Saccharomyces cerevisiae S288C: one gene and its partners. Changing the gene in region 2 together with the main gene of any one other region gives a genetic interaction. Each region holds a gene or a part of one and is shown on either strand. Other genes may lie near its edges. The genes, in order: APE3, MGL2, YPR078C and RTR1.

Evidence for each region.
Region 1: mutations in MGL2 (region 2) and APE3 together harm fitness more than expected from each alone (negative genetic interaction), as found in Saccharomyces cerevisiae (2 studies listed by BioGRID).
Region 3: mutations in MGL2 (region 2) and YPR078C together harm fitness more than expected from each alone (negative genetic interaction), as found in Saccharomyces cerevisiae (2 studies listed by BioGRID).
Region 4: mutations in MGL2 (region 2) and RTR1 together harm fitness more than expected from each alone (negative genetic interaction), as found in Saccharomyces cerevisiae (2 studies listed by BioGRID).

What each region holds. Positions count from the first base shown.
Region 1 is NC_001134.8:771,729-780,190, forward strand, and holds APE3 (aminopeptidase Y), read left to right. Parts: upstream 1-2,971; coding exon 2,972-4,585; downstream 4,586-8,462. Other genes in the region: YBR284W (metallo-dependent hydrolase superfamily protein), read left to right, coding at 1-1,904; HAB1 (Hab1p), read left to right, coding at 2,194-2,628; YBR287W (uncharacterized protein), read left to right, coding at 4,843-6,126; APM3 (Apm3p), read right to left, coding at 6,284-7,735; SNF5 (Snf5p), read left to right, coding at 7,939-8,462.
Region 2 is NC_001145.3:683,517-691,566, reverse strand, and holds MGL2 (putative carboxylic ester hydrolase), read right to left. Parts: upstream 4,052-8,050; coding exon 2,702-4,051; downstream 1-2,701. Other genes in the region: EFR3 (Efr3p), read left to right, coding at 1-872; DML1 (Dml1p), read right to left, coding at 1,057-2,484; YMR209C (uncharacterized protein), read left to right, coding at 4,283-5,656; ERG12 (mevalonate kinase), read right to left, coding at 5,769-7,100; acetyl-CoA carboxylase HFA1, read left to right, coding at 8,003-8,050. UniProt on the Saccharomyces cerevisiae protein: Converts monoacylglycerides (MAG) to free fatty acids and glycerol. Has a preference for palmitoyl-MAG. Does not play a significant role in ethyl ester biosynthesis. Also possesses ester hydrolase and low but persistent TAG lipase activity.
Region 3 is NC_001148.4:694,155-701,886, forward strand, and holds YPR078C (uncharacterized protein), read right to left. Parts: upstream 4,112-7,732; coding exon 2,993-4,111; downstream 1-2,992. Other genes in the region: transketolase TKL1, read right to left, coding at 1-684; OPY2 (Opy2p), read right to left, coding at 1,583-2,665; MRL1 (Mrl1p), read left to right, coding at 4,715-5,860; TEF1 (translation elongation factor EF-1 alpha), read left to right, coding at 6,440-7,732. UniProt on the Saccharomyces cerevisiae protein: Induces the SOS system when expressed in E.coli, therefore, it may play a role in DNA metabolism and/or in genome stability.
Region 4 is NC_001137.3:446,642-454,386, reverse strand, and holds RTR1 (RNA polymerase II subunit B1 CTD phosphatase RTR1), read left to right. Parts: upstream 1-3,143; coding exon 3,144-3,824; downstream 3,825-7,745. Other genes in the region: COX15 (Cox15p), read right to left, coding at 1-928; EMP65 (Emp65p), read right to left, coding at 1,152-2,822; YER138W-A (uncharacterized protein), read right to left, coding at 4,809-4,913; YER137C-A (gag protein), read left to right, coding at 5,363-6,685. UniProt on the Saccharomyces cerevisiae protein: RNA polymerase II subunit B1 C-terminal domain (CTD) phosphatase that dephosphorylates 'Ser-5' of the CTD and regulates RNA polymerase II during the transition from 'Ser-5' to 'Ser-2' phosphorylation.

The DNA of each region.
Region 1 (8,462 bases), on a different chromosome or scaffold from region 2:
ATTCAAGAGTGGCTGGGGGTTATCTTAAACCTGTAAAAGAAAAATTATTTGGAATACGTCACTTTCTTGATCTAGAGGAAAGTAATACTGTAAACCTCCTCCAGGATGGTAATTATATGACGGAATTGTTCAACAGTCAGATTAATATCCCCACTTTTAAAGAATTTAGGGAAGATTTTGAATGGTGCTTGAAAATTATAAGAGATAGAAGCCTATCAAGGTTTAGCGAAAAAAGATTACAATATCTTGTAAATAAGTTTCCAGTTTTTCAACACCTACATTCCAAGGAAGAAATGAGACAGAGCAAAAAGGTGCCACACAAGGATTTTTACAACTGTAGAAAGATTGATCTGAATCTTCTGTTAAGCGGCTGTTTCTCACAGTGGCAATTGACTGAGTTTATTTGGACCAAGTTGAGAAAAGAACCGGACAGGGTTATCCATCAAGCTTTTAATGGTAGTCATATAACCTTGAGCCAATTATTCAAAGTGAATTTCGAGGAGACCGGTCAGTTCTTCAATGGGTTGAAAATTATTGACGATTCATTTTTGGAGTGGTATAAAGTTATTTATCTCGCAAAATATCATTTGGTTAACGATGAAATGGAAATACACACAGGCTCACACGGTAAGCAGCTTCGATACTATTTGATTGCGAAAACATTTTTGGAGTTTGATAACTATATTAATGGTGAATACTTAGCGGAACTACTGAAAACGTTTTTAATAAAACCGCAAGAGGAGTCGAAATATCAGTTATGTCAACTCTCCGTGGACTTCCAATTTTATCTGCATTACGATAATTCCGATGTGGACAATTGGTGGATGGTCTTTGCCAATTGGCTGAACCACTATAATATATTTTCTAACAATATTCGCTGGAATATTCGCATTTCTAGAATTTATCCAGAACTGTATCATACTGGCAAGGTGAAGAATTTTCAGGAGTATTTAAATCTAATCTTCAAACCACTTTTCAATGCCGAAAATTATCTACACAAGTCATTAGGACCTATTCTTTTGAAATTTCTTTCTCAAGTATCTTCGATTGATCTATGTATTCAAGATACGGACAACTATATTTGGAAAAACTTCACAGCAGTTAGTTGCTTGCCAAAAGATTGGACATCTGGCGGTGATAATCCAACCATTTCACAATATATGTATTACGTCTACGTCAACCTAACAAAATTGAACCATATCCGCCAAGCCCTTCATCAAAATACCTTCACTTTGAGAAGTTCATGTTCTCCCACCTCAATGAATCGAACTTCACAGTTTAGTAATACACTGAACTTCACAGAACATACGGAAGCTATTTTAAACAATTTCTTGCTCGCCTGTGGAGGGTTTCTAAATGCAGAAAATCTCTGGAATGCACCACCATCACTGGTGTATCTTTTCTATCTAAGTCAAATTCCCATGGTTGTGGCGCCTTTGAATTCCATAGTAGATTCAAAGCCTACAATGCTGCAAGAACAAGCCCCGACGGGGCTTGTCCTAGAGCCCTCAAAGCCTTATAAGAAGAACCCTTTCATGAAGTTTTTTGAAATGGGGTTCAAGATATCGCTGAGCTCAGAATCTATCCTCTACAACAATTCGTATACGAAAGAACCCATTATAGAAGAGTATAGTGTAGCGGCTAGTATATACCGTTTACATTCAGCAGATTTATGCGAACTTCTAAGAAACAGTGTCATAACCAGTGGATTTTCAAGTACCCTAAAGAACAAATGGCTCGGCGTTTCCTTAGCCAGCCATGACTACTTCGTGGAAAACACTGGGTTTGTAGACAAGTGGTATGATTGTAAACCAAATACAAGTTTAGAGCATAACGTTCCGATCATCAGACGTCAATATCGCAGTAGCACTCTCGCAGGGGAGTGGCGACTCATAATTGCGTGAATTCGCTCATGTTTCTTCGAGGGGCGCATATTGTGACGCTAATATTATGTACCGCCCTTCCCCACACACACAAAAAAAAAAGGTTAAGGATAAAGATAAGTAAACTAATGGAATATATAAACAAATAAGTAAGTAGATACTGTAAATAGAACACACGTTTTTTAATTTATTTTTTTTTTTACATATCTTAATTTAATATAAATCAAAAAGCCCAAGCCTCAAACAAGAGTCTTATCACTCCATTTATAACATAACAATTCGAAATCTCTAAGCTCGCTTATAGTTGACAATGACCATATTTTCTAGGTTCTCATATTTTGATAGTCTATTCTCCTTTAAAAAGCAAGAGCCTTCCCCCATTGAAATAATCTATTGCAATGAAAACAATGGTTTCATAAACATAAAATCCTTAGAAAGCCCCACTGACGATAGCATGGAGGCGGACATTTCAGATAGAGAAATGGCTACAATCCTGACTAGAAACAGAAACAATTTGGGTAAGGTTGCCATTGATAAGAAAGGCGTTAATAATCATTGCATAGATTTGAATGAGCTGAAAAAGGGCCTTGTCGCCAATGAACACAAATTGGATAACGATAACTCAACACGGCACCAGAACACATATTCACCAGAGGATTCCGTGGAATTTGATAGGTTCGATGATAAACAAAGCAGAATACTAAAGTGTAGCACTAGAAGGAGCTACTTGAGATACAAGAAATAAGACAATTGAGCTGCTTCATTATATATCTTGATATAATCACCTTTCTTATCGTCAGAAAGAGTGTTCTCTATGTTTTTGTGCTTCCATAAATATATAGTTCAAAAAGTAATATCATATACTATTAATAATAAAAGTTATACTGAATATATTGATTAGTTCTATTAATTACTATTGACACACTTTGAATTCCCTTAAATTAACCCTCAGGAAGAAGGGGTCCTTAGGAAAATTTTTCTTTTTTCAATATAAAAGCGAGGAACAATGGATGGGAACAAAACCATGTTCAGCCTTTCAACAATTGGTAGAAGAAGCCAAAAAAAAAAAAAAAACAGAAACGCCAACCATGCACTTTTCTTTGAAGCAATTGGCTGTCGCTGCGTTTTACGCTACCAATTTAGGCTCTGCCTATGTCATTCCTCAATTCTTCCAGGAAGCCTTTCAACAAGAAGAGCCAATTGAGAATTATCTTCCGCAATTAAACGACGATGATAGCTCTGCCGTTGCTGCCAACATTCCGAAGCCACATATTCCTTACTTCATGAAACCACATGTAGAAAGTGAAAAATTGCAAGATAAAATCAAAGTTGACGATTTGAATGCTACTGCTTGGGACCTCTACCGTTTAGCTAACTATTCTACTCCTGACTACGGTCACCCTACCCGTGTGATCGGGTCCAAGGGTCATAACAAGACTATGGAATACATATTGAATGTTTTCGATGACATGCAGGACTACTATGATGTTTCTTTGCAAGAGTTCGAAGCTTTATCCGGTAAGATCATCTCTTTCAACCTCTCTGACGCCGAAACCGGTAAAAGCTTTGCTAACACTACAGCTTTCGCACTTTCTCCACCTGTGGACGGGTTCGTAGGTAAGCTAGTCGAAATTCCTAACTTGGGATGTGAAGAGAAGGATTACGCCTCTGTAGTCCCACCAAGACACAACGAAAAGCAAATTGCCCTTATCGAAAGAGGTAAGTGTCCTTTTGGCGATAAGAGTAATTTGGCCGGTAAGTTCGGTTTCACCGCTGTGGTCATTTACGACAACGAACCTAAATCTAAAGAAGGACTACACGGTACATTAGGCGAACCTACCAAGCACACTGTCGCCACCGTCGGTGTTCCATATAAAGTTGGTAAAAAATTGATTGCCAATATTGCATTGAACATCGATTATTCATTATATTTTGCCATGGACTCTTATGTAGAATTTATCAAGACCCAGAACATCATTGCCGACACAAAACACGGTGATCCTGATAATATTGTTGCCCTTGGTGCTCATTCAGACTCTGTTGAGGAGGGCCCAGGTATCAACGACGATGGTTCCGGTACTATTTCCCTATTGAACGTCGCTAAGCAATTGACCCATTTCAAGATCAATAACAAGGTCCGTTTTGCATGGTGGGCTGCTGAAGAAGAAGGTTTGCTAGGCTCTAACTTCTACGCTTATAACTTGACCAAAGAAGAAAACTCCAAGATCAGAGTATTTATGGACTATGACATGATGGCTTCTCCAAACTATGAATACGAAATTTATGATGCGAACAACAAGGAGAACCCTAAGGGGTCTGAAGAGTTGAAAAACCTGTACGTAGACTACTACAAGGCTCATCACTTGAACTACACTTTGGTCCCATTTGACGGTAGATCCGATTATGTCGGGTTTATCAACAACGGAATTCCAGCCGGTGGTATTGCCACTGGTGCCGAAAAGAATAACGTCAACAACGGAAAGGTCTTAGACAGATGCTACCATCAATTATGTGATGATGTCTCTAACTTATCCTGGGACGCATTCATTACCAACACCAAGTTGATTGCTCACTCTGTGGCCACCTATGCTGACTCTTTCGAGGGTTTCCCAAAAAGAGAAACCCAAAAGCACAAAGAGGTGGACATATTGAATGCTCAACAACCACAATTTAAGTACAGGGCCGACTTCTTGATTATTTAAGTGTACTGTTCACATCAAGTATTTCTGTATAATTATCTAAAAGAAAATAAAAACCCTCTTTTTTTTAACTGCACGTGCATCAAGGGGATCACAGCCTCCTTATCAAAGTGAAAAAAAGGTAGAAAAAAAAACTGAAATTGTGATATAAAAGTTTAAACAGGAAATTATTGTAAATTGAACAATATGTGTGAAGCCCGTTTTTGGTTTGTTATTCCCAACTAACCATACCCTCATAGATTACTCTGCATTTCTACTATATGGTTGAAACATTTAGTTTTGCTCATTTGGCTTATTTGGTCTTTGAGTCCGTTTTACAGGTAGTCATTATCGCACTCGCTGGTTTTTGGAGCGCTAGTTCTGGTCTGCTGCCCAAACAAAGTCAAAAAATCATTTCTCTGTTGAACGTGGACCTTTTTACACCATGTCTTATTTTTAGTAAGTTGGCCAAATCCCTGTCCATGGCCAAAATCTTTGAAATAGCCATCATTCCTATTTTTTTTGGTTTGACTACTGGTATTTCATTTATTTCCGGAAAGATAATGAGCCGTATCCTAGACTTGGATAAAGATGAAACTAATTTTGTGGTGGCAAACTCTGTCTTTGGTAACAGTAACTCTCTACCTGTGTCCTTGACATTATCTTTGGCTTACACTCTGCCCAACTTAACTTGGGACCAAATTCCTAATGATAACAGAGATAACGTTGCATCAAGGGGTATTTTATACTTGCTGATCTTTCAACAAATCGGACAAATGCTGAGGTGGAGCTGGGGTTACAATAAGCTAATGAAGTGGTCTGGAGAGAACACTCAGCATATGCCACCTTCTCAAGTGCAATCTTTGTTGGAAAGGACGCCCAACATTGATAACGAGGAACTTGTCAATGAGGAACAAGAGGAACAAGAATTGCTTGAAGAAGAAAATAACAGAATGAACTCATCTTTTTTGAGTTCGAGTTCCATCGGTGATAAGATTTGGCAAAAATCATGCACTGTATTTGAGAGAATCAGAGCGAACCTTAATCCTCCGTTATATTCCATGATTTTTGCTGTTGTTGTGGCAGCAATTGGTCCGTTGCAGAGAGAGCTATTTATGGAAGATGGGTTTATCAATAACACATTTGCCGAGGCTGTTACGCAGCTGGGTTCAGTTTCTATCCCACTGATCCTGGTTGTCCTCGGTTCTAACTTATATCCTTCTGCGGAAGTCTTCCCTAAGACGGTTCACCATAGCAAGTTATTGATCGGCTCCATCATCGGAAGAATGATTTTACCTTCTTGCTTCCTTTTGCCTATTATTGCTATTGCTGTTAAGTACATAAACGTGAGTATTTTGGACGATCCAATTTTCCTTGTTGTCGGTTTTCTTTTGACTGTTTCCCCTCCTGCCATTCAATTAACTCAAATCACTCAACTGAATGAATTTTTCGAGGCAGAAATGGCCGATATTCTATTTTGGGGGTACGCTGTCTTAAGTTTGCCTGTAAGTATTATTGTTGTCTCAGGTGCAATTTACGTTTTACAGTGGGCTAACCCAACTTAATACAACTTTTCATTCCTTTGTATAGAGTCTTCATGAATGAAAGTCTTATTCATTTTTTTTTTTTTTTAGCATAGTTTTATATTCCTTTTTTATTCCAAGACTTATATTCTCATTATATTCTATTTAGTTTCGCATGGAATTTCAAGTACACATATAACTACAGCCTTACTTGAAAATTGCCTGTCTGGGTCTTATACTTTGCACCCTTGTACAGCTTTGTATTTTTGCCAATTGTTAATCCAGATACAATATCGATGGCTTCTACATAGATTCCACTGGCCGATTGTCCTATGTAAGAATATTCTAAGGAGACTGTTTGTAAATCAACTTTTTTTGTAAAATTTGGCCCAGTATTTTCATACTCAATACAGCCACGTAGTACAGGTACCGTTCCAGTGGCAGTTGATTTATCAAAAATCCATTGTCCTTGACCCATGATAATGCTATTTTCAAAACGGCCATGAGTATTGCGCAATATTTTTATCTTATATGCTATTTCATTTGGATCAGCATTCTCAACATTGAACTGTAAATCTATTTTTAGGTCATCAACTTGTGAAACTTTTTTGAAATTTTCAATATTTAAGGATAACTCAAATTCATCAGAATCTTTACCCAATCCATTTTGGAAGTGTAAAGACATCAAGCCAATAGAATTCATCCTTACTCCGGATTGCTTTACTTGAGAACTTAAATCGACGGAATACTCCAGCAATCTGAACTTCCCATCTGGTGGTATAAACGTTATATTAGAGGGAGAAAACACACCATCATTGATTTCAACACAGTCATGCAAACTGGGTATACCTATATCATTTCCCATAGTGTTTAATTTTACTGCAACTAGAGGATTATCATTCAAATAAGATCTCACGTCCACTATTCCATGGATACTTCCAGTGAGCAACCTTAGATGTGATTTTTTCTTTTCAAATACAACATGGAATGTTTCTAACAAATCCACATAAAGCTCATTATTCTCATGTTTGCTAGCCCTTGAAGTTCTCCAGGGAACAATCTCTTCATTTTCGATTAGTGAATTACTACCACGAGAAATCTGATTTTGTTGTAGCTGCTGTTGCCTTTGTTGTGGGAGTTGCACAGCCTGCTGTAAATTATGGGCTGTAGAACTTATGAACTTCGATAAATCCGATCTTTCAGGAACAGCTTCTTTAATTTTATTAACATAGAGCATATCACTCACATTTGGTTCACCCGCTTCGACGCAACAGTTAAAAATCAAACTGATTCTATCATAATTATTAACAATTTTCTTGATACTTAATTTATCCTTGTCAAAATATTCTAACAGGATACGATCTATAGTCTCTAAAAAGGTAAAACAATCAAGCGGGCCTTTTGACTTCGAAGTGGAGGCTAAGCACCAATAATTGAGCTTATTTATAACTGAGAAATACTTATAGACCTCTAAATCTCTTCCAACCATTGAATGGTCTAAATAATCATCACTACTGCTATCTTCGAGCAATTGAGGACATGTGGACTGAACGCGGGTCCACAGGTGCTTGAAGGAGGGAGCTGTTGCACCTAAAAGATACTGGAAAATAAGTTTGTTCTTTGTATCAGTGATATAGAATGACAAATACATCTATTTTGGTTGGGTTGGTAAGGTTTACAGCCTCTGTTGTTGCCCAAGTCCTGTTATCGCCAACTTTAAATAAATCTCTTCTTGTTCTTTGACCAAAAATTTCATTTTTCGTCGCATTTAAAAGAAACTGAAATTTCAAACATAAACACCAAAACAAAGCATCATCAAGGGAACATATAGTAAAGAACTACACAAAAGCAACAATGAATAATCAGCCGCAGGGTACCAACAGCGTTCCAAATAGTATTGGAAATATATTTAGCAACATTGGAACTCCATCTTTTAACATGGCGCAAATTCCGCAACAGCTGTATCAGAGCCTCACACCACAACAATTGCAGATGATTCAGCAACGACACCAACAGTTACTGAGGAGTCGTCTACAACAACAACAACAACAACAACAACAAACTTCACCGCCACCGCAAACGCATCAATCTCCACCCCCTCCTCCGCAACAATCTCAACCCATTGCTAATCAATCAGCGACTTCTACCCCTCCTCCTCCTCCAGCACCACACAACTTACATCCCCAAATTGGTCAAGTGCCCTTAGCTCCAGCGCCTATTAATTTGCCTCCACAAATTGCTCAGTTACCTTTGGCTACACAGCAACAAGTTTTGAACAAGTTGAGGCAGCAGGCCATAGCAAAAAATAATCCACAGGTTGTGAATGCAATTACTGTTGCACAACAACAAGTGCAACGCCAAATTGAGCAGCAAAAGGG
Region 2 (8,050 bases):
ACGTTTCTGAGCCTGAGTATACCTATTATTCGTACCATTTACAAGCAGCTAACTTTTTAAAACTCAATGACTACAAGTCACAAACTGAGTACAAAATGCAAACTAGAACTTTGTTTACCAAGGAAGATTTATTGTCATACTATTCTGATACTGGATCAAATAAATACAGCAAGAAGGGGGCGCAGATTTTATTGTCTCGTGATAATCAAATTTCTACTTCTGATTTACTGTCGGACTCTCAAGTTCGTACTACACCTCTGGAGTACAAGAATGTCCCTAATGCTATTTTTTCAAATGGGAAAGCAGTGTATGATAACAACGATTTTGCGGCCAAGCAAAATAAATTCGACAACAGCATAGATGACAATATAGAAGAAGCTAACGATACTGTAATTTCTGATGCTAATGCAAAAGGTAGTATCTATAGGTTTGTTGCTGAGGACGCAAGATCATGGAAAACAATGAGAGCCACCGCACCAAAAGTTAGCGATTTGAAAAAAACTATGAATGAAAAGAATATTCCAAATAATATGAAAAGAGATGGCTCTTTTCGGGGTTCTCAATCAGTGAAATCTCGTGTCACTAATATCACATTTTTATTAAATGAATTGAAAACTTTTTCAGATGACGCGAATAAAATCAAAGATCCTGATGAGGAGAATATTGTTGGCTTGGATAAAATCGACGTTGCTAGATCAAATTCTCTGCGACTTGCACCAATATCTAGTCTTTCTGATCGCAGTAGCATTGGAAATAGAAAATCCTTTTTGCAAAAAACAGCAACTGGTGAAAATCAAAACGATGACTTTAAAGACGCAAATGAAGATTTACATTCTTTAAGTTCAAGAGGTAAAATTTTCTCCTCCACTTGAGAAATTAAGTTTTTGACGGACAGCTGTGGATGCTTTCAAGGGCAAGAGTGATATAGCATGACTTTCTAATTAATGTAATTTACGTAGATATAGATCAAATGGCGAAGTAAAAACTTCGAAAAAGATGGAAGAAGTCCTGTTTGCCTCAACTGGAGAAAGGAAATACGTAGCTGCAAACTGCTTATCACATATCGTCATCACCAGAATCTTCGTCTTCATACCACCCAGATTCGTACGCTGAGGCGTAATCGGAAAGTTCATTTTTCAATTCTTCTCTGTCACTATCATTTTTGAAGTACCTTACCACAAACTCATTCCAATGTTTGAATATATCTCGATTTTTTTCAGATGATTCTAATTCCAAAACAAATTCACGATCATTGGAAAATTCTGTCGGTATCGTATCAGATGGAAAATACCTGTGTGTATACATTTCAATCATCTTACTCCGTGAATCAGGTTCGGAATGATGTTTATGCGTTTGATTTCCTCTATCAATGAAACTTTTTGAAAATATGTGAGTAGAATTTGGTTTGTGGCTATTCTTGAAAGGAAGTACTCGAGAACAGAATGAGTAATCGGTGTCACCGATAACCATGCCAGTGACCATATTTCGCGACGAATATCCTAAGGTAATGGCAGTTGTTAGATAATCCATTGTCTTTCTTTGTTCAAGATTGCTTTGGGAAATTGTCGCATTTATAGAATCAAATATCCTACAGCTCTTTCCAGCAGTTTCCCAATTAGTTAGTCCAGGAGCAGCATACAATGGGAAGTAAAGATCGGATTCTTGCATCATATTTATTGTGCTTCTTAATTTGTTCGAAATGATCGGGAGCCATTTCTTTGAAAGTCTTTTCATAGGGAAGTCATCTGTGAATGGATCATCTTCATTGTGTCCCCATGAAAAGACCGCCTTTTTAGGTAATTCATTCCTTAATTCCACCAGTAGAGCACTAGAAAACCCGCCCCATCCACTCTCCATATCACTTACAAGATTGAAGCCTTGCAGGGTGTCACATTTTTCCAATTCTCTATGCAAATTTCCATCAAAAAACTCTTGCAAGTAATTTTCGGTAAATTCGTCATAACCAATGGAATACCTGTCAAACTTTCGCTCCCCCAAGTTTTGAAAGTCAGGTTGGTTTGGATTTTCAGTGTCATGGTACCAATTTCTCAAAATATTGAAACTTGAAGGACCATAGATAAGTTTAGAATAGTCAGACCAATACATCGTATTTTCTCTGTTCAAACAAGGCAGCGGTGCTCCTGCATCTAGAGAACTCTGATATTCGGATTTAGGTATTCTTGGATGAGTCTTTATAACTGTTTGCTCCTTGAATTTGTCTTCATTGCCGAAATGATAGTCTTGGCTTTCTGAATATTGATATGTTCCTAGTGAACCATTACCTGTACGGGCATCCCAAAGTAAGGCACGTGGTGCATATGAAATTGTTTTTGAAACTTTATCTACAACCGAATTCAGAAAAATTTTGGAGTCATTGACTTGTTGTTCTTTAGACAATTGTAAATAGCCCTCTTGTATATTGAAGAATTGAGTAGTCAAATGGTTTGCTCTCTGCGAAACCGATATCGTTACTACTTCATGCATTTTTTATTCTTGTCTGCCAATTATATATGTAATTTTAACAATTAACCCTCTTCTTCCAAGGTTTTAATTCATCGCATCGATTATATTTTGTTCCATTCGAAATTTTCCATTTTAAGTTTGGCGAAGCTTTTCACGTTTTCATTCAGAAATAATGATGTCGAACATCAAAAAAAAAAATTATCAGGTTACACATCTAAAAAGTTGACTTATTTACAAACTAATTCGCGCGAAAGGTTGTGGCTATGGGTTCGCAATTAGGATCTGGGAGTTGAACATTTTCCAAGTCAGGTTTTAAGCCCTTTACAGTAATTTCGTCGTGAAATATTTTCAAAAATCTGCATAAGGGTTCTGCGTACCACCTTCTGCCGGATCTGTCTTTGAACCATCCAACATGCCCCCCCGTCGAAGTTTCTAGAAGCAAAGTGTATGGATTGGATTTTATTTGGTCTATAGGAAGATCACCTCCGACAATTGGGTCATCCTGAGCATGCAAAGCTATAAAAGGAGTTCTGATCCCGGGTATTCTTTTATATGATGAAGCATTCTTGTAATACTCCTCTGCATTTTTATATCCAAACATTGGGCCTGTCAACAAGTTATCAAATTGCCTCACAGTGCGAATCTTTTTTAAATGCTTCTCGATAACATCTTTGAAATCAGGGTTTTCTTCCAGAGTAGAGAGATGGTTTCGAACCATGCGTAGTAAGTTGTGACCCAAAGCAGGTGAATAAAATCGTGACCCCATTGGTGTACTGTTAATAAAATATGCAGAGTTGTACAGGTCAAATGGATTACTCACGGAAATAGCACATTCGATTTTAGTACGATCTGACTCTTCTCCCAAGTAATTTGTCATTATAGATGCGCCTAACGAAAATCCCATCATATAAAACTTTCTATTCGGAAATCTTTTCCTCAAGTCATTAACACAATATCTTATATCATTGGTCCAACCACCGTTGTATAATAGCGGCGTTGTAATTGCAGAATAACAACATCCTCTAGCATTAAACACGCATGCTTCAAAGTCATACTTCGTGGTGATTTCATGAACAATTGCCCTCACGTAGCTTTCCCTCGAACCCCCTGTTAATCCATGGAGAATAATAAGCATAGGCTTAGCATCGTCTGAGTTCAATTTAGGATCATCAGGGGAATAGTACGAATATCTTCGTTTCAAGTTTCCGTTAAATACCGGTTGACTTGTCGGCACGTATTCTTTTTCCACTTTTCTTCTTTTGGTACTTCTACCATTTACAGCAAAATCCACAGTCCCTTCTCCCCCATGTGGGTATTTGATTATCATTCTTTTATATTGAACTTTGTATATATTGTCAAAGTGTCTAAAGGAACCATATGCAGTTTGTAAATGGCCATTGACCAGTAAACCATATAAAGTGTCAGTAGCACCGTCAGCTAATTCAGGAACTTTAGTATCTATTAGCTCAGGGATGGTGATCTCTTTATTTTCATTCTCTCGTTTATCGGTGGACTTGAATGCAATAGGATCCTCAGGGACCTCTTGATGAACAATCAAAAAATTAGGTAACAATTCTTTTAGACGCATATCGTCTCTGGAAGTTTACCAGCGTTTGTATAATACAGTTTTAAAATAACAAAGTAGTTGGTTTTTATCGAACTTCAAATAATTGAGACCCTTTTAAGATCCACAATACTTTTCGGGGTTAGGTAAGAAGACCCGTAAAAAAAAAAAAACGTAAACGATGCTGTACAATTAACAAATTTTTCAGGAAATAGAAGAGGTAAAAATATTGATATACGAAGTTGAGGAGCGCCAATGGTTAGCTCACTGGCATCAAATATAATTCTAGCCCTTGTGGTAGTCCTGATGACACTGCTAAGGCAAAATAAGCCGTTGCAGAGGTGGTTTGTATCATATGTTGAAAAGCTATTATCAAGAAAATCAAATCTGGCCCAAAAAGTCAGCGTTTTATCGCCCTCCTTAAAATTGGTTGATGTTGAGAAATCAATATCTGCCGATCAATCGAATCTTTCTAAAATTAATTATCAGATTCCCACTCTTCCTGATCTTACGGGGAATTTAATCCGTTTACATGAGTATCGAGCAAGAGGAGAAGGCTATAATGGCCTTTTATTTCGGAGAGCAAGACAATTAAATGGAATTTCAGAAGATCAGTTGCAAAAATTAGGCTACTTCACCAAATTAATGAAAAATAATGAGGGTATCCGAGAAAACGCAAGAGTTATTGACAAGATAATTGAGTTCACTTTAGGGAAATTGATTCATTCCAACGAACACGATGAAGAATTTACAGAGGAAATTGAAAAGATATGCGCGGAACACGGCTATAAGATTAAAGATGGTCACCTTATTCAATTGAATCCTGACTTCGTATTTCCAATAGTTTCGTCTCGAGGCAGCCAAAGTGTGGTCCATGAAGCATTAGCACATTTGTGTCGTGATTTCAGCTCTTACTATAGTGTGGAAAGAGATCCTTTACAAAATTTTATCATTAGTAGAATCAACCATCATGTGATTAGTGCCGGGGACATGAAAGAGAAAATTCTTATCGTGACCCCAGGGGCTGGTGTGGGTGGCCTATCCCATACTCTTGCCACCACTTTCCCCAAAATACAGGTGGACTCCATCGAATTATCAGCCTTGATGTACATATGTAACCTATTTGCACTCGAATATAAGCATGACGTTAAGATACGTCCTTTTGTACAACAATATTCATGCCAGACAGTGTTTGATAATCAGTTGAGAAGTTTATCGGCAGATTTGAGCAAAGTTGGCCACCGCAGTAATCTGGACCCACTATGGGGGGACTTCACACGATATTCTCCCATTTCCAAAGACTATGATAAAATTATCATTTGTAGCGCATATTTCATAGATACCGCGGAAAATATGTTTGAATATCTATCCAGTATTGAAGCACTAAAGAAATACTGTAAAGAGCTGCATTGGGTCAATGTAGGTCCATTAAAGTATGGCACCAAACCCTTGGTCCAATTTACAGGAGATGAATTAAGTCGGCTGCGTAAAATTCGCGGGTGGAAGGACCTTGTGGAGGAATATGAAGTTGATAGCTCAAAGGGATTGAATGGCTATTTAACTGATTATGAGTCAATGTATCAAGGATACTATGGTCTGCTTAAATTTCATTCTGTCTTCGAAAGCTGAATTGATACTACGAAAAATTTTTTTTTGTTTCTCTTTCTATCTTTATTACATAAAACTTCATACACAGTTAAGATTAAAAACAACTAATAAATAATGCCTATCGCAAATTAGCTTATGAAGTCCATGGTAAATTCGTGTTTCCTGGCAATAATAGATCGTCAATTTGTTGCTTTGTGGTAGTTTTATTTTCAAATAATTGGAATACTAGGGATTTGATTTTAAGATCTTTATTCAAATTTTTTGCGCTTAACAAACAGCAGCCAGTCCCACCCAAGTCTGTTTCAAATGTCTCGTAACTAAAATCATCTTGCAATTTCTTTTTGAAGCTGTCAATTTGCTCTTGAGTAATGTCTCTTCGTAACAAAGTCAAAGAGCAACCGCCGCCACCAGCACCGGTAAGTTTTGTGGAGCCAATTCTCAAATCATCGCTCAGATTTTTAATAAGTTCTAATCCAGGATGAGAAACACCGATTGAGACAAGCAGTCCATGATTTATTCTTATCAATTCCAATAGTTGTTCATACAGTTCATTATTAGTTTCTACAGCCTCGTCATCGGTGCCTTTACATTTACTTAACTTAGTCATGATCTCTAAGCCTTGTAGGGCACATTCACCCATGGCATCTAGAATTGGCTTCATAACTTCAGGAAATTTCTCGGTGACCAACACACGAACGCGAGCAACAAGATCTTTTGTAGACCTTGGAATTCTAGTATAGGTTAGGATCATTGGAATGGCTGGGAAATCATCTAAGAACTTAAAATTGTTTGTGTTTATTGTTCCATTATGTGAGTCTTTTTCAAATAGCAGGGCATTACCATAAGTGGCCACAGCGTTATCTATTCCTGAAGGGGTACCGTGAATACACTTTTCACCTATGAAGGCCCATTGATTCACTATATGCTTATCGTTTTCTGACAGCTTTTCCAAGTCATTAGATCCTATTAACCCCCCCAAGTAGGCCATAGCTAAGGCCAGTGATACAGAAATAGAGGCGCTTGAGCCCAACCCAGCACCGATGGGTAAAGTAGACTTTAAAGAAAACTTAATATTCTTGGCATGGGGGCATAGGCAAACAAACATATACAGGAAACAAAACGCTGCATGGTAGTGGAAGGATTCGGATAGTTGAGCTAACAACGGATCCAAAAGACTAACGAGTTCCTGAGACAAGCCATCGGTGGCTTGTTGAGCCTTGGCCAATTTTTGGGAGTTTACTTGATCCTCGGTGATGGCATTGAAATCATTGATGGACCACTTATGATTAAAGCTAATGTCCGGGAAGTCCAATTCAATAGTATCTGGTGCAGATGACTCGCTTATTAGCAGGTAGGTTCTCAACGCAGACACACTAGCAGCGACGGCAGGCTTGTTGTACACAGCAGAGTGTTCACCAAAAATAATAACCTTTCCCGGTGCAGAAGTTAAGAACGGTAATGACATATTGACAGTTTTCTATACGTAGATATAAATTTGCAAGTTAGGACTAAGAAGCGCACCAGCTAACCAGGAAGTAATATCATGGCTAACTAACCTTTATAGGCATATCGTTGTATCGTTCTTCGATACCCTGTCGAAGATTTCAGTGCGACAGCCAAACGAGGCCCGAAAATTGTCAGTACAATTACAACCGATAAAATACACGTTGAGACAAAACTAGCACAAAACGCCTCTTTAAACATAAATGTGTACGCATTCTGAAAGTGAGATAGAGTACAAGGCTATCGCTAGCTTTCCACGGGAGAAGTAGTAGGAACCTCTCTTTTTATTGCTTATGACAGTAATAATAGCATCATTCATCAATGTTTCCGTTAGGGTAACTAAAATGGGTGGGCGGCAGATGACAAGAAAAGATGAATAATGAAGAATGATAAAGAAGAAGTCATCTTGGGTAGAAAGGGAAGACAATTACACACGGCCAAAGCTGGGGGGCTCGCCGGATACATTCTCACTTTTACATTACCATATTCACAATTACTTGCATTCGAATAGGACAGTACAAGCTCGCGTTATATTTGGATCCTTATCGATTCTATAATATAACGGGCAGCCAGATAGTACGGTTGAAAGGACAGCGCCCTGAATACAGAAAACGCATTTTTGCCCATTCGTATAGGCATTCATCTCGAATAGGTTTGAATTTTCCATCTAGAAGAAGGTATTCCAATTATGTGGATCGAGGCAATATTCATAAACATACTCGATTACCGCCCCAGTTCATAGGGCTAAATACTGTGGAAAGTGCCCAACCTTCAATATTAAGAGATTTTGTTGATTTACGTGGTGGACATACTGTTATTTCAAAGATCTTAATAGCAAACAATGGTATTGCTGCGGTGAAAGAAATGAGATCTATAAGAAAATGGGCGTACGAGACGTTCAATGATGAAAAA
Region 3 (7,732 bases), on a different chromosome or scaffold from region 2:
GGCAATACCGGCTAGATCTTCGTTACCATTTTCTACGTACAAAACTTCCCAACCGTAGGCTTCGTATCTCTTAGCAACATCTTCATCGAATGAGATACTGGTAGCACCATCGATAGTGATCTTGTTGTCATCGTAGATGGCAATCAAGTTACCCAATTTCAAATGACCAGCCAAGGAGGAAGCTTCTGAAGAAATACCTTCTTGCAAACAACCGTCACCCAAGAAAACATAGGTGTAGTTGTCAGACAAGGTAAAGCCCGGCTTGTTGTAAGTGGCAGCCAGGTTAGCTTGAGCCATGGCCATACCAACAGCGTTGGAGATACCTTGACCTAATGGACCGGTAGTAACTTCAACACCTGGCAACTCAAATTCAGGATGACCTGGTGTTCTGGAACCCAACTGTCTGAACTGTTTCAAGTCTTCAATAGACAGATCGTAACCAGTCAAATGTAGCATAGAATACAACAAAGCGACCGCGTGACCGTTAGACAAGACAAATCTATCTCTGTTGATCCAGTCTGGGTTGGTTGGGTTCATGCGCATTTGACTCCATAGAACGTGTGCAGCTGGTGCCATACCCAATGGAGCACCTGGGTGACCTGAGTTGGCCTTGGATACGGTGTCCACAGCCAAAATTCTTATGGTGGAGACGGCTAGCTTATCAATGTCAGTGAATTGAGTCATTTTGTTTGCTAAAGAGGTAACTATGTAGAGTTGCTTGGGATGAGCTTCCTTCTCTGTTGTACTTCAGTTTGATCTGAAACTTAAAAAACGAAATTTAAAAGGAAGACAACGGTGAGAACAAGAAATGAATGAATCAAGAAGTCACGATCAAGTATGTAGGTAAAAGATCAGGGGGGAGTATGTACGTAACCAAAAAGATTGGGAAAGAGTTTATATATGAATCATGCCTACGATCGTACCTTCTTGGCTTTCCCAAGAAAATTTTTCATCTCTCGAACTTCTCGAGAGATTGCGAACGGAACGGCAAACGCCGCCGGCATTTCTCGGAAAGAAGACTAGAAAATAAATGACGGTGGGAAAAAAAGCAAGAAGCTACGGTTACCCGCAGCGGCACTATAGTAGATGGGCTTTTAAGCCCGTTTTCAGGGTCAGGTAATATGTAATGTAGTAGCACTTAAACTTGCTAACCATAAATGACCAAAATGCAAGTTTGCTGTATTTTAGTCCCGTTGGCGTTTTCGGATGCTTCATTCCCCAGAGAAGTGATGTGTATGCGAAAAATGTCTCAATGCAGCTTTGGCTGCTGCGGAACTTATCCGCTTTGTAAGCACATCTTGTTTTAATGTGTATGAATTTTTATATTTGGTTCGAAAATTATGACATTCGGCCAAGAAACTTTCAGAGGAGCTGTGTATTAGCAGATGGTAAGCGCACGTTGAAAATGCTGAATATTATTAATTTAGACATACCTTGATGGCTGAACAGTAGTCAGAAAATTAAAAAAAAAAAAAAAGCGCTTATTACGGCGTATACACGTAACTATATAGACGTAGATCATTGAATATTGATATGATATAATATTTTCCCCGGGATTGCAGAATACTGACACGCCTTTTATTTATCGTTCATCGTGTATTTCGAACTTGTCCTCAAACGGGCTCTCAGTGCGACTGCCCTGGGTGCTCTCGCGTATCGATTCTGGAATTTCCAAGTCCAGTATAAAACTTCCTTCTTCATCGTCATCTTCGTCGTTATTACCATGGCTTGCCTCGCTTTTTGCCATGTGTGAAAGATCATCCGCCTCTGTCTGTTCTTCAATGACATCCAAGTCCTGAATCTCCTTATCACTCTCTTCCTCTGCGATTTGAACCAGTTTAGGTTTAGCACGAATAGCAGTTATGAGGTTATCGTCTGCGTCCTTATTGAGTACCTGGTTATGCTCGTCATCTTCGTCATCCAGACCATCCAAGATGGAAGAACCTAAGGTTATATGTGACCTGATATCACCAGCTGCATTTTGTCTCTTAGAGCTCGAGCGTAGTTTTGATTGCAGTTTGTCGGTACTCAAACCGCTTGTCACACCAGGAATGTAGGCAATAGGCAAAATATTAGAAGCCCTTGTACGAGTGGTAGATGCTGAACTTCTGTTTCCCGGCACGTTGAGAGTTGGAGGTACCAGTGACGTATTGAACAGGGTGTGACTTTCATCTTTTCTCATACCGCCATCATCCTCATCGTCTTCATCATCATCGTCTTCATCGTCGAAGTATTCCTCTTCATTCCCGTAACTTTGCGATGCCTCTTCCAATTTCAAAGCTTTATTTTTTTGCCTTTTGGGCTTCCAATATCTCTTGTTGATGAAATACAACGCCACCAAGGCAATAAGCATCGCACCACCTACAATACCCACGGTGAACCCCACAATCAACGAGGTTTTCTCATTTGAATTACTGGAACTAGAACTAGAGGAGGAGGAAGATAAACTACTCAGTTGTGAATCGGACTGTTTCGCACAGTATGTGGATGGGCACTTGTCACATGTTAATGAAGTCATAACACAATATTCTCCTGAAGCGCAAACAGGGCATGATGCAGTTGAATCGCAAACAACACATCCGTCGCTGCCTCTAGTTGCAGAAGTTGAAGAGGTGGCTGTGCTTGACAAGGATGAACTTGCAGAAGCCTTGGAGGAGCTCGACATTTTTTGTTTGATTTTCAGAAAACGAACGTAACCAGTTTGATAAATGTGGTGCCTCTCTTATTCGGCCTGGGAAGCAGTGCAACAATAGCGCACATTATAATCATTTGATTTTAAATTCACCCCAGGACAATGGGGCATTATTTTCTGTTGAGAGGGTAACGCGTTGTTTATTGAGAACTTAACGCGTTTCGATTTCAAGAATGCACTATAGTGCGGAAATGTAAACAGAATTTATTGATACTTGGCATTATTTGAATTTTATTTATATCTTGCCCGAACATGTCTTGACACAAGCAAGGAACGTTTGCTCATTAACCTTTTACACGGTTATGCTTGTACCAAAGGCTGATCACCTGGTTCGGGCACAAAACAGAGTTTAGTTTCCAACTGTGTTTCCTTTCCCGGATCAGATGATGGTAAGGGAACGGTAACGGCGTCTTCATCTTTACAAGGTTGGCCCTTCTTAAGATTTTGATGCTTTGTAGTCCATTTTTTGAATCTTCCTTGCAAAAGATAAATTTCCCTTCCCAAATTATTTCTAAGTGTGTCCCACACTCGTGGCACGTTTTCTTGATTTTTGTCGCCAAAATTAGCACTCTTATGGAAAATACGGAACATACCACCGCTGTTATTTTTAGAACTACTCTTTTCAGAGCCGAGCATATCAAGAGAAGTCCTGACATATCGGTATTTCAAAAGAGTCTTTTTATTCTCTTGCAAAGGAGGCCCGCTAATAATGCTTTCCGTATCATCAGTTACTAGCTCCTTTTTGATATTTTTCCCAAATGTGGGACTTATGGAGGTCTTCTCAGGTTCAGAAGCGGAGTGAATTTGGCAGGTTTCATCAATTTTAACTAATGTATCGTCATTTTCAAAATCGTCAGGTGTTAAGGGTGATATAATATTCAATCCATTCATAAAATCATCAATATCACTAAAATATGGTGTCTTGCCCCGTTCCATCAAGTCCTCTCCATATCCATATACTTTATCATCGTTTACCTCTTCCAGATTATTATCAGATGGTAGGGCTAATTTACTCTTATTTTTTCTAAACCACTTATTCAACCTCTGTCTCCAATCACGATCATAGCGGCCATGCAATTGAGAAAGACTCTTCAGCTGCGTATTTGAACTGCTTTCACTGTCAGAAAAATTCTTATTGGTTTTAAACCAGCCAGAACAAGATCGGAAAAAAGTATCACTTTCAGTAACTTCTTTAATCACTTTTTCCAGCCTGGCAATTTCTTGGTCAGTTTTATCGTGAATATGATCAACTCTGACACCTAATTGTGCAGTCTCATTGATTAACCTTCGTAAATCTTCGCTTTCAGTCAAATGCGTTGTTATTTCAGCTTCTTCGTCAAACTGGAAGGTTCGTTCATCATCAGACCTAAGCTCTGAGGGGCTTAATACTGTTGGTAAGACTCCAGAAATCGTTTGCATGATTGATATTTTATCTTTTTATATGATTTTGTTTTTTAGTTATACTTACGCTTGCTACCCTTACTTATGAAGTCAGTCTCTTTTGTTAGCTTTTATTACAACACTTATGAGAAATTTATAAAAAAATCCCAGGAATGCTTTCACAAATTATCCATTCTACATAAAATCTTTTTTTATAGTATTACTTTTTTGTGACATCAAAATGAAGCACTAAATAATTATAGAAAATATTCAGCAAAAAAAAAGAAAAACCTTCTTCTGAAAAAAAAAAAAAAAAATTCAAAAAAAGACACCTTTCTACCTTGGCAGTAAATTTCAAATTAATTATTTACCAAACTGTAGTTCCCGCTCACTAATCCTTTCTTATACTTATTCACATTACTGTCACTTTGCGGCTGTATTTGGCCGCGTTTCCCTTTCGGGTGCAGGTACAAGAGGTATCCGAAACAAGAAGGGTTAAGTTTTGAAGAAAATGCCAAGTATTTCAATTTCAATAATAAGAACGCAAAACTACAGGAGACTCTTACTAAGCATACTACTTCTCAAAAAAGGGCTTTATTTTATAGAACATAAAACATACTGTAGGATCGCACACTGGAAAATATGTTGAAACGATCATCTCTAATATATCTATCATGTGTCCTAATCATTACCATACCAATACTTTTGCATGTATACAATGGTCCAGGACTGTCCCATGAAGCCAATGAACATAGGGCTTCTCACAAGCAAAAAAGAACGTTAGCAAATCCGGATAAACCCAAAAGCGAAAACGATGAAGATCTATTTTGTGCGGTAACCAACCCAGTCACCGGATCATACATAGATCTATCACAGCTATCTTCAACTCCCAACAAATTAAGGGAGGGCCAAAAACAGATTTCTGGCAATAACAAGCATGAATCCTCCAAGACGAAGTGGTCAGTGAGAGGTTGGGGCTACGATACAAACTTCACGTTAGGCATCTGCTCTAGTCCTGTCGGAGAAGCTGAGTCGCAACAACTGTCCAATCTAACGGGCGCTTTTTACGTAGACCAGTTGAACGAAAATAATTTAGTATCGATTGGAGACTTCAGTACAAGGCCTGCGTTAGTCGGCGGCTCTACTGCCAAGAAATTAACTCTCAAATACGAAAACGGCTCTATGTGCCCGAACGGGAAGGACAAGAAGGCAACTTTATTGAATTTTGTCTGCGATAAAGAAATTCAATCAAAGGCCCAGATATCATACATTGGAAACCTACACAATTGCTCGTATTTCTTCGAAGTCCGCAGCATTCATGCGTGCCCCACCTCAAACAAAAAGAATGAAGTTAACGTTTTGGGTATCTTCATCGGTATCTTCGCTATATTCTTTTTAGTCGAATTTGCGGGGAGAAGATGGATCTATGCTAAACTAAATAGGCATTTGAAAAACGACGACGAGTTACACGACATATCGCCATCTTTAAATGAGCAACCACACTGGGACCTCATAGAGGACGGGTCTCGCTGGAGTAAATTTTTCAACGGGATAATTAAGACGACAAGAAGGTTCACGAAATCTTTAATGAGGTCTTTAGTCAGAGGCAGGAACAGCCGTCAAGGGGGCATAAGACTACGGTCATCCCCATCTGCCTCTTCGTCCAGCCTTGCCAACAGGGAGTTCTTCAGAGACATGGAGGCTCAAAACGAAATTATTGACAGCCTAGACATCAATAGTCATACAACAGAAAGCGACCACCCAACTTTGGCTGATAATAGCGTATAAACAATGCATACTTTGTACGTTCAAAATACAATGCAGTAGATATATTTATGCATATTACATATAATACATATCACATAGGAAGCAACAGGCGCGTTGGACTTTTAATTTTCGAGGACCGCGAATCCTTACATCACACCCAATCCCCCACAAGTGATCCCCCACACACCATAGCTTCAAAATGTTTCTACTCCTTTTTTACTCTTCCAGATTTTCTCGGACTCCGCGCATCGCCGTACCACTTCAAAACACCCAAGCACAGCATACTAAATTTCCCCTCTTTCTTCCTCTAGGGTGTCGTTAATTACCCGTACTAAAGGTTTGGAAAAGAAAAAAGAGACCGCCTCGTTTCTTTTTCTTCGTCGAAAAAGGCAATAAAAATTTTTATCACGTTTCTTTTTCTTGAAAATTTTTTTTTTTGATTTTTTTCTCTTTCGATGACCTCCCATTGATATTTAAGTTAATAAACGGTCTTCAATTTCTCAAGTTTCAGTTTCATTTTTCTTGTTCTATTACAACTTTTTTTACTTCTTGCTCATTAGAAAGAAAGCATAGCAATCTAATCTAAGTTTTAATTACAAAATGGGTAAAGAGAAGTCTCACATTAACGTTGTCGTTATCGGTCATGTCGATTCTGGTAAGTCTACCACTACCGGTCATTTGATTTACAAGTGTGGTGGTATTGACAAGAGAACCATCGAAAAGTTCGAAAAGGAAGCCGCTGAATTAGGTAAGGGTTCTTTCAAGTACGCTTGGGTTTTGGACAAGTTAAAGGCTGAAAGAGAAAGAGGTATCACTATCGATATTGCTTTGTGGAAGTTCGAAACTCCAAAGTACCAAGTTACCGTTATTGATGCTCCAGGTCACAGAGATTTCATCAAGAACATGATTACTGGTACTTCTCAAGCTGACTGTGCTATCTTGATTATTGCTGGTGGTGTCGGTGAATTCGAAGCCGGTATCTCTAAGGATGGTCAAACCAGAGAACACGCTTTGTTGGCTTTCACCTTGGGTGTTAGACAATTGATTGTTGCTGTCAACAAGATGGACTCCGTCAAATGGGACGAATCCAGATTCCAAGAAATTGTCAAGGAAACCTCCAACTTTATCAAGAAGGTTGGTTACAACCCAAAGACTGTTCCATTCGTCCCAATCTCTGGTTGGAACGGTGACAACATGATTGAAGCTACCACCAACGCTCCATGGTACAAGGGTTGGGAAAAGGAAACCAAGGCCGGTGTCGTCAAGGGTAAGACTTTGTTGGAAGCCATTGACGCCATTGAACAACCATCTAGACCAACTGACAAGCCATTGAGATTGCCATTGCAAGATGTTTACAAGATTGGTGGTATTGGTACTGTGCCAGTCGGTAGAGTTGAAACCGGTGTCATCAAGCCAGGTATGGTTGTTACTTTTGCCCCAGCTGGTGTTACCACTGAAGTCAAGTCCGTTGAAATGCATCACGAACAATTGGAACAAGGTGTTCCAGGTGACAACGTTGGTTTCAACGTCAAGAACGTTTCCGTTAAGGAAATCAGAAGAGGTAACGTCTGTGGTGACGCTAAGAACGATCCACCAAAGGGTTGCGCTTCTTTCAACGCTACCGTCATTGTTTTGAACCATCCAGGTCAAATCTCTGCTGGTTACTCTCCAGTTTTGGATTGTCACACTGCTCACATTGCTTGTAGATTCGACGAATTGTTGGAAAAGAACGACAGAAGATCTGGTAAGAAGTTGGAAGACCATCCAAAGTTCTTGAAGTCCGGTGACGCTGCTTTGGTCAAGTTCGTTCCATCTAAGCCAATGTGTGTTGAAGCTTTCAGTGAATACCCACCATTAGGTAGATTCGCTGTCAGAGACATGAGACAAACTGTC
Region 4 (7,745 bases), on a different chromosome or scaffold from region 2:
CGCCACTCATAGCGGTAAGGAAAGACACCGCTAACAAAGCTAAAGAAATCTTTCTCATTGGGCCAATTGCGGGATTATCTAATTTTTTGAAGAGACTAATGGCTTGAACAGGGTTCTTAATCCATTTACATTCTCTCAATATTTCCAAACCAGTCCAGAGCATACCCATGTATAAAAAGAAGGCGGTACCCAAATGCGTAGTAAGTCTATATTGAGAAACGGTAGGCTTTGATTTTCTTGCGTCTAGTTGCTCTTGATCAAGACCAGACTTCACCATCCACCAACCAACAAATCCTTGTAATCCTAATAAACCTGCGAGACCAAACAACCTCTTATTGACATGGCCTGAAGTTTTTTTAGATACAGCGAAATAAACTGCAGGTAATATAAAAACAGCGCCGATAGCACGACCCCACAATCTATGAATCCACTCCATAAAAAATATAAACTTGAACTCGTCTAAATCAATGTGAGAATTCAACAATTTAAATTCTGGTGATTCCTTATACTTGATAAATTCTTCTTCCCATTCCTTCTGGTTCATAGGGGGCAAAGTACCTGTGACAGGTTTCCATTCGGTAATACTCAGCCCCGATTCTGTTAGTCTAGTCAACCCACCAAGAACAACAATACCAAATACCAAACCGGATGTACCTATTAACCAGTAAGCAACATTCTTCGAGGTCTTCAAACGTGATTCTATAGGGTTTGATTCTGAAGCAACATGTGGTTTAAAAACAGGGGAGGAGAGAGAAAATGGACGGATGCTCACAGTTTTCTTAAAATTATATAGTTGAGTCTTTCTGATTTGTTGTCTGATGGTAGAAATATTCCTTGAGGCCCCAATACTTTGCCAGGCCAAACGACTCGAGGTTCTCGTTAATAGCTTAGCTGCCTGCCTGCCCACTTCTATGTTTCTGAAAAGCATGACGTACAGTAGTTACAACTTCAGTGCTGTGCACTATTATATAATACAGTTCCAAGTTACAATAGGAAACTAAATAAACGATAAAGGAAAGATCAATAATTCAAAAGGCAAGAACTTATAAACTGCAAAACAATAGCTTTTTAGTAAGCAGGGTTTCTTTTTTGCTCCTTGCAATATACGAAATATCCGAAAGCCGTAAGCCGCGATAAATGCGGATCTTAGATTACCATATTCTTTTAGAAACCATTTTATAGCGAGCGACATTTTCAAGCGATCGTGGATTCTTGGAATCTTTCTGTCTTCTAATATCATTTAGGCTAGGAGGAGTACATTCAGCAGTTAAAGTAGTTTTTCTTTTCCGCATTGGCGATACACTTTCGGTCTCTATACGATTCTCTTTATTGTAATCAGAATGTAATGCAATTCTTGTAGACACGTCGACTTTACCCATACCGCCCGAGAGTAAACCTGGGACGTATTCTTCTTCAGTTACAACGGTATTGAAAGCTTGGTCTCTGAACCGTTGCTCTATCCGTTTGCTCCATTTGATTAAAATAAGATCTAGTGTAAATTTTGCCAACAATGCTAGTAAAAACACGGATGCCCCCATGAAGAGGATCCTAAATAGCGAAGGAAGGTAAGAAGGTTCCGATGATTTAAAAAGTGTTGGCCTCACCATTACAATAAAAAGGACAACGAATGCAGGTAAAGGCAATCCCAATCTATCTTCTAATTTGTGCGTTCTCGTAGAATAATCCTTGTATATTATATAATAGAACTTATCATATATCTGTGGGCGGATCCGATTGAATTTTGTGATGTAAGCATGCTTTGCCCAATCCACTAACACTTCACTCCCTACCACGCTTACCATCGGCCCACAAAGTATGTTAATGACGATTGATAATGTGGAACGTGGACTCCAGAAATTGATGCTTGTGTTCGATAATGAAGATGACCACGACTGGAGGTTCCTAAGGCCAGTTATTGACAATAATAAGGTCAACTTAAATCTTTCCACTACGTCTGCAATGGTTATTTGGAAAAATCCCTCCTTATCAAATTTCTTTAAAACCGATGATTTGATTTCTGCAAATTGCATGGATAGTAATAAAGTTAGCAAGGCATTGGAATACGAATTCACGGCTATGTTTAATGAAATGGCCTGGTAAACCAATACATAGCCGTGTATAGTCACATATGTCAAGCTCATTGACACTAACAAACATTTATGCAGTAATATCCGTTCCGAGTTTTTCCTAGAAAGCATAACCGTTAATAAGCTCTGGCCCAAACTTGCCAACATTTTGTCCGCCATTTCCAGTACACTGAATAGCATGTACAATTTCATCGTACTTTGCCGTTTTATCCTGTGATATAGTTTTGAGGTGTCTAGTTTGCTCAACAAAATGGATGAAATCACGATGATAAAAATCATACATCTCTCTTTATATTCTCTTGAAGTTATTCTATATCGAAAGGGTATTTTATTCTTATGCCCAGACCGTTGTTGCAGGCGATAATGCTGACGATAACTCTTGAATTGCTTTACATATCCCTTTATCAGTCGTATCGGTAATACAGTAAAGTAATACAAAAAACAGTCCAAGCTTGTTAAAAGTGCAAAGAGCATGAACTTTTCCAGGAACATTGGTATTCTTATCATGTTGAGTAATTGTTCCAATTCATAATCATCCTCATGTTCTTCTTCGCTTTTTGCAGCGCTACTTTCATCTTGCTCTTCAACAATATTGTGTCTATCTATAGTATTCCATAGGAAGGACCACTTTTTGTCTAATCGTGAAATTATATGTATAGCTGACGGCGCACTATTTCTTCTCAGTAAACGTTTTTTAGCTGTGTCCTTCGCTACTGCCGTATCCTTGTGTTGCATGGGAGTGCTGCTTTTTTTTTGGATTACTCGGTAGAATAATATATACACCTTATAGATCGATCAGGTCGATTCAGAGACAGCATCGTGATATTAAAAGTAACTAATTTTCTTATTTCATCTCTTTCCGATATTTTTGTCCGAAATAGGAATACTACAATACAAAATCAGCTGGCATCCAGAAGTGGTCAAAAGCAATGGAAAAGTGAAGAAAGAGACACATTGAGGAGCGAATTGAACAATTCATAAACATTCCCAGTCTAAAATATCTATACATCGGCATCTTAGTTTGAAAAATTAGGACGAAGTTAACAAGAATAAGAAATGGCGACGATTGAAGATATTAAGGAAACGGCGTTAATCCCTTTCCAAAAGCACAGGCAACTTTCCATGCATGAAGCAGAAGTTATAACTTTAGAGATTATAGGCTTATTATGTGATTCAGAATGCAAGGATGAGAAAACATTGAAATATTTGGGCCGATTTCTCACACCGGATATGTATCAAGACCTAGTAGATGAGAGGAATCTAAACAAAAGATGCGGATATCCTCTTTGCGGTAAATCGCCAGAAAGAATACGTGATCCATTTTCAATGAATGATACTACTAAGAAATTTTTATTAGAAAACAATCCGTATGCATATTTGTCGCACTATTGCAGTAAGTTCCATTTTAGATGTTCCCAATTTTATCAAGTGCAACTATCTGATGAAGCTTTATTTGCAAGAACAGGGGTTCACCTATTTGAAGATCCTGAACAGGACAAACACGATATAGATTTCAAAGTGACTTTGTTTGAAGAGTTGCTAAGAGAAAAGGCATCCGAAGAAGACATTAAATCATTGATATCCGGTCTCAAAAAGTTAGGATTAAATCCTGACAGTGGGACTACAGAAAAAGATGATACTGAGCTGGAAGATGATTTATCGAAGTGGTTGGCACAAATCAAAATTGTTGAGAATGATAATCCCAGCATTTTGGGTGATTTCACAAGGGAAGATTGACCGGCTATATCAATGCACCTAAATTCAGAACAGATTATGGACGTTTCATTGGCTGAAAATAGTTAATTCATCATCATAACTTAAAATACTTTACAGCGCCAGGACAAAAATACTGTTATTCGTGTATGTCAAAATGTGGTTCTCAATTTTCTACAATGTAGCGCTTTTATAACTTTGCTATAATTCACTTTGAGTCACCACGTAGCAATTCTTTACATACCTATTGGTTTCTCTGAAGGGCCATCCATATACGAAAGTGTTGCTTCAGAGTTTTGGTTCGAAAATCAACAAGTATTTAATGTGTTGAAGTATCGCGACGTTCCTTCCTTTTGGGCAATAACGGTAGAACTGGCCGTCCAGCATCGAATGGATACAATAGAAGGAAAATTTGGCAATTCAGAACAGTAGATATTTATCTAAGACGACCCAACAGCTAGGACGCTGCAAGAAGAATCGTTCACCTTCAATTTATTATTTGTTTAGCAAGACGAGAGTATGTGGGATTTTTGTGTGATAATTTAATGAAAGTTAGATAGGTGTCTGACTTCGATCTTTCGTTAAACTAATATTCTTAGTTTATAGAATACACTTGAAGCTCTCTTCGAGAACATAGGAAACCCACAGAAGGAAGTCGACACTTCTAGATAATAATATTGTCTCTTTTTTTTTTGTTTTGTATGTTATCAATAATTATCCTACTATTTAGTAAATCTTTTACGTTTCGGCATCCATGGAATTTGATAACCAATTCTCATCATGTATGTCATCTTCCTAGTTTGTGTAGAACGATATACTTATAAGTATATACTAGTCAATTCATGATTTTATTTGACCCTGTTAGTCCATCAATATACGCCATCTTTTTACTAATATATATAATGGCGTTAAAATACCGGTAAATCGTTCAATTGACTATAAGCAGTTTCTTCATTTGTAGAGAATGTGGATTTTGATGTAATTGTTGGGATTCCATTGTGATTAAGGTTATAATATTAGGTATGTAGATATACTAGAAGTTCTCCTCGAGGATTTAGGAATCCATAAAAGGGAATCTGCAATTCTACACAATTCTATAAATATTATTATCATCGTTTTATATGTTAATATTCATTGATCCTATTACATTATCAATCCTTGCGTTTCAGCTTCCACTAATTTAGATGACTATTTCTCATCATTTGCGTCATCTTCTAACACCGTATATGATAATATACTAGTAACGTAAATACTAGTTAGTAGATGTGTTGGAATAGAAATCAACTATCATCTACTAACTAGTATTTACATTACTAGTATATTATCATATACGGTGTTAGAAGATGACGCAAATGATGAGAAATAGTCATCTAAATTAGTGGAAGCTGAAACGCAAGGATTGATAATGTAATAGGATCAATGAATATAAACATATAAAACGGAATGAGGAATAATCGTAATATTAGTATGTAGAAATATAGATTCCATTTTGAGGATTCCTATATCCTCGAGGAGAACTTCTAGTATATTCTGTATACCTAATATTATAGCCTTTATCAACAATGGAATCCCAACAATTATCTCAACATTCACCCATTTCTCATGGTAGCGCCTGTGCTTCGGTTACTTCTAAGGAAGTCCACACAAATCAAGATCCGTTAGACGTTTCAGCTTCCAAAACAGAAGAATGTGAGAAGGCTTCCACTAAGGCTAACTCTCAACAGACAACAACACCTGCTTCATCAGCTGTTCCAGAGAACCCCCATCATGCCTCTCCTCAACCTGCTTCAGTACCACCTCCACAGAATGGGCCGTACCCACAGCAGTGCATGATGACCCAAAACCAAGCCAATCCATCTGGTTGGTCATTTTACGGACACCCATCTATGATTCCGTATACACCTTATCAAATGTCGCCTATGTACTTTCCACCTGGGCCACAATCACAGTTTCCGCAGTATCCATCATCAGTTGGAACGCCTCTGAGCACTCCATCACCTGAGTCAGGTAATACATTTACTGATTCATCCTCAGCGGACTCTGATATGACATCCACTAAAAAATATGTCAGACCACCACCAATGTTAACCTCACCTAATGACTTTCCAAATTGGGTTAAAACATACATCAAATTTTTACAAAACTCGAATCTCGGTGGTATTATTCCGACAGTAAACGGAAAACCCGTACGTCAGATCACTGATGATGAACTCACCTTCTTGTATAACACTTTTCAAATATTTGCTCCCTCTCAATTCCTACCTACCTGGGTCAAAGACATCCTATCCGTTGATTATACGGATATCATGAAAATTCTTTCCAAAAGTATTGAAAAAATGCAATCTGATACCCAAGAGGCAAACGACATTGTGACCCTGGCAAATTTGCAATATAATGGCAGTACACCTGCAGATGCATTTGAAACAAAAGTCACAAACATTATCGACAGACTGAACAATAATGGCATTCATATCAATAACAAGGTCGCATGCCAATTAATTATGAGAGGTCTATCTGGCGAATATAAATTTTTACGCTACACACGTCATCGACATCTAAATATGACAGTCGCTGAACTGTTCTTAGATATCCATGCTATTTATGAAGAACAACAGGGATCGAGAAACAGCAAACCTAATTACAGGAGAAATCTGAGTGATGAGAAGAATGATTCTCGCAGCTATACGAATACAACCAAACCCAAAGTTATAGCTCGGAATCCTCAAAAAACAAATAATTCGAAATCGAAAACAGCCAGGGCTCACAATGTATCCACATCTAATAACTCTCCCAGCACGGACAACGATTCCATCAGTAAATCAACTACTGAACCGATTCAATTGAACAATAAGCACGACCTTCACCTTAGGCCAGGAACTTACTGAATCTACGGTAAATCACACTAATCATTCTGATGATGAACTCCCTGGACACCTCCTTCTCGATTCAGGAGCATCACGAACCCTTATAAGATCTGCTCATCACATACACTCAGCATCATCTAATCCTGACATAAACGTAGTTGATGCTCAAAAAAGAAATATACCAATTAACGCTATTGGTGACCTACAATTTCACTTCCAGGACAACACCAAAACATCAATAAAGGTATTGCACACTCCTAACATAGCCTATGACTTACTCAGTTTGAATGAATTGGCTGCAGTAGATATCACAGCATGCTTTACCAAAAACGTCTTAGAACGATCTGACGGCACTGTACTTGCACCTATCGTAAAATATGGAGACTTTTACTGGGTATCTAAAAAGTACTTGCTTCCATCAAATATCTCCGTACCCACCATCAATAATGTCCATACAAGTGAAAGTACACGCAAATATCCTTATCCTTTCATTCATCGAATGCTTGCACATGCCAATGCACAGACAATTCGATACTCACTTAAAAATAACACCATCACGTATTTTAACGAATCAGATGTCGACTGGTCTAGTGCTATTGACTATCAATGTCCTGATTGTTTAATCGGCAAAAGCACCAAACACAGACATATCAAAGGTTCACGACTAAAATACCAAAATTCATACGAACCCTTTCAATACCTACATACTGACATATTTGGTCCAGTTCACAACCTACCAAAAAGTGCACCATCCTATTTCATCTCATTTACTGATGAGACAACAAAATTCCGTTGGGTTTATCCATTACACGACCGTCGCGAGGACTCTATCCTCGATGTTTTTACTACGATACTAGCTTTTATTAAGAACCAGTTTCAGGCCAGTGTCTTGGTTATACAAATGGACCGTGGTTCTGAGTATACTAACAGAACTCTCCATAAATTCCTTGAAAAAAATGGTATAACTCCATGCTATACAACCACAGCGGATTCCCGAGCACATGGAGTCGCTGAACGGCTCAACCGTACCTTATTAGATGACTGCCGTACTCAACTGCAATGTAGTGGTTTACCGAACCAT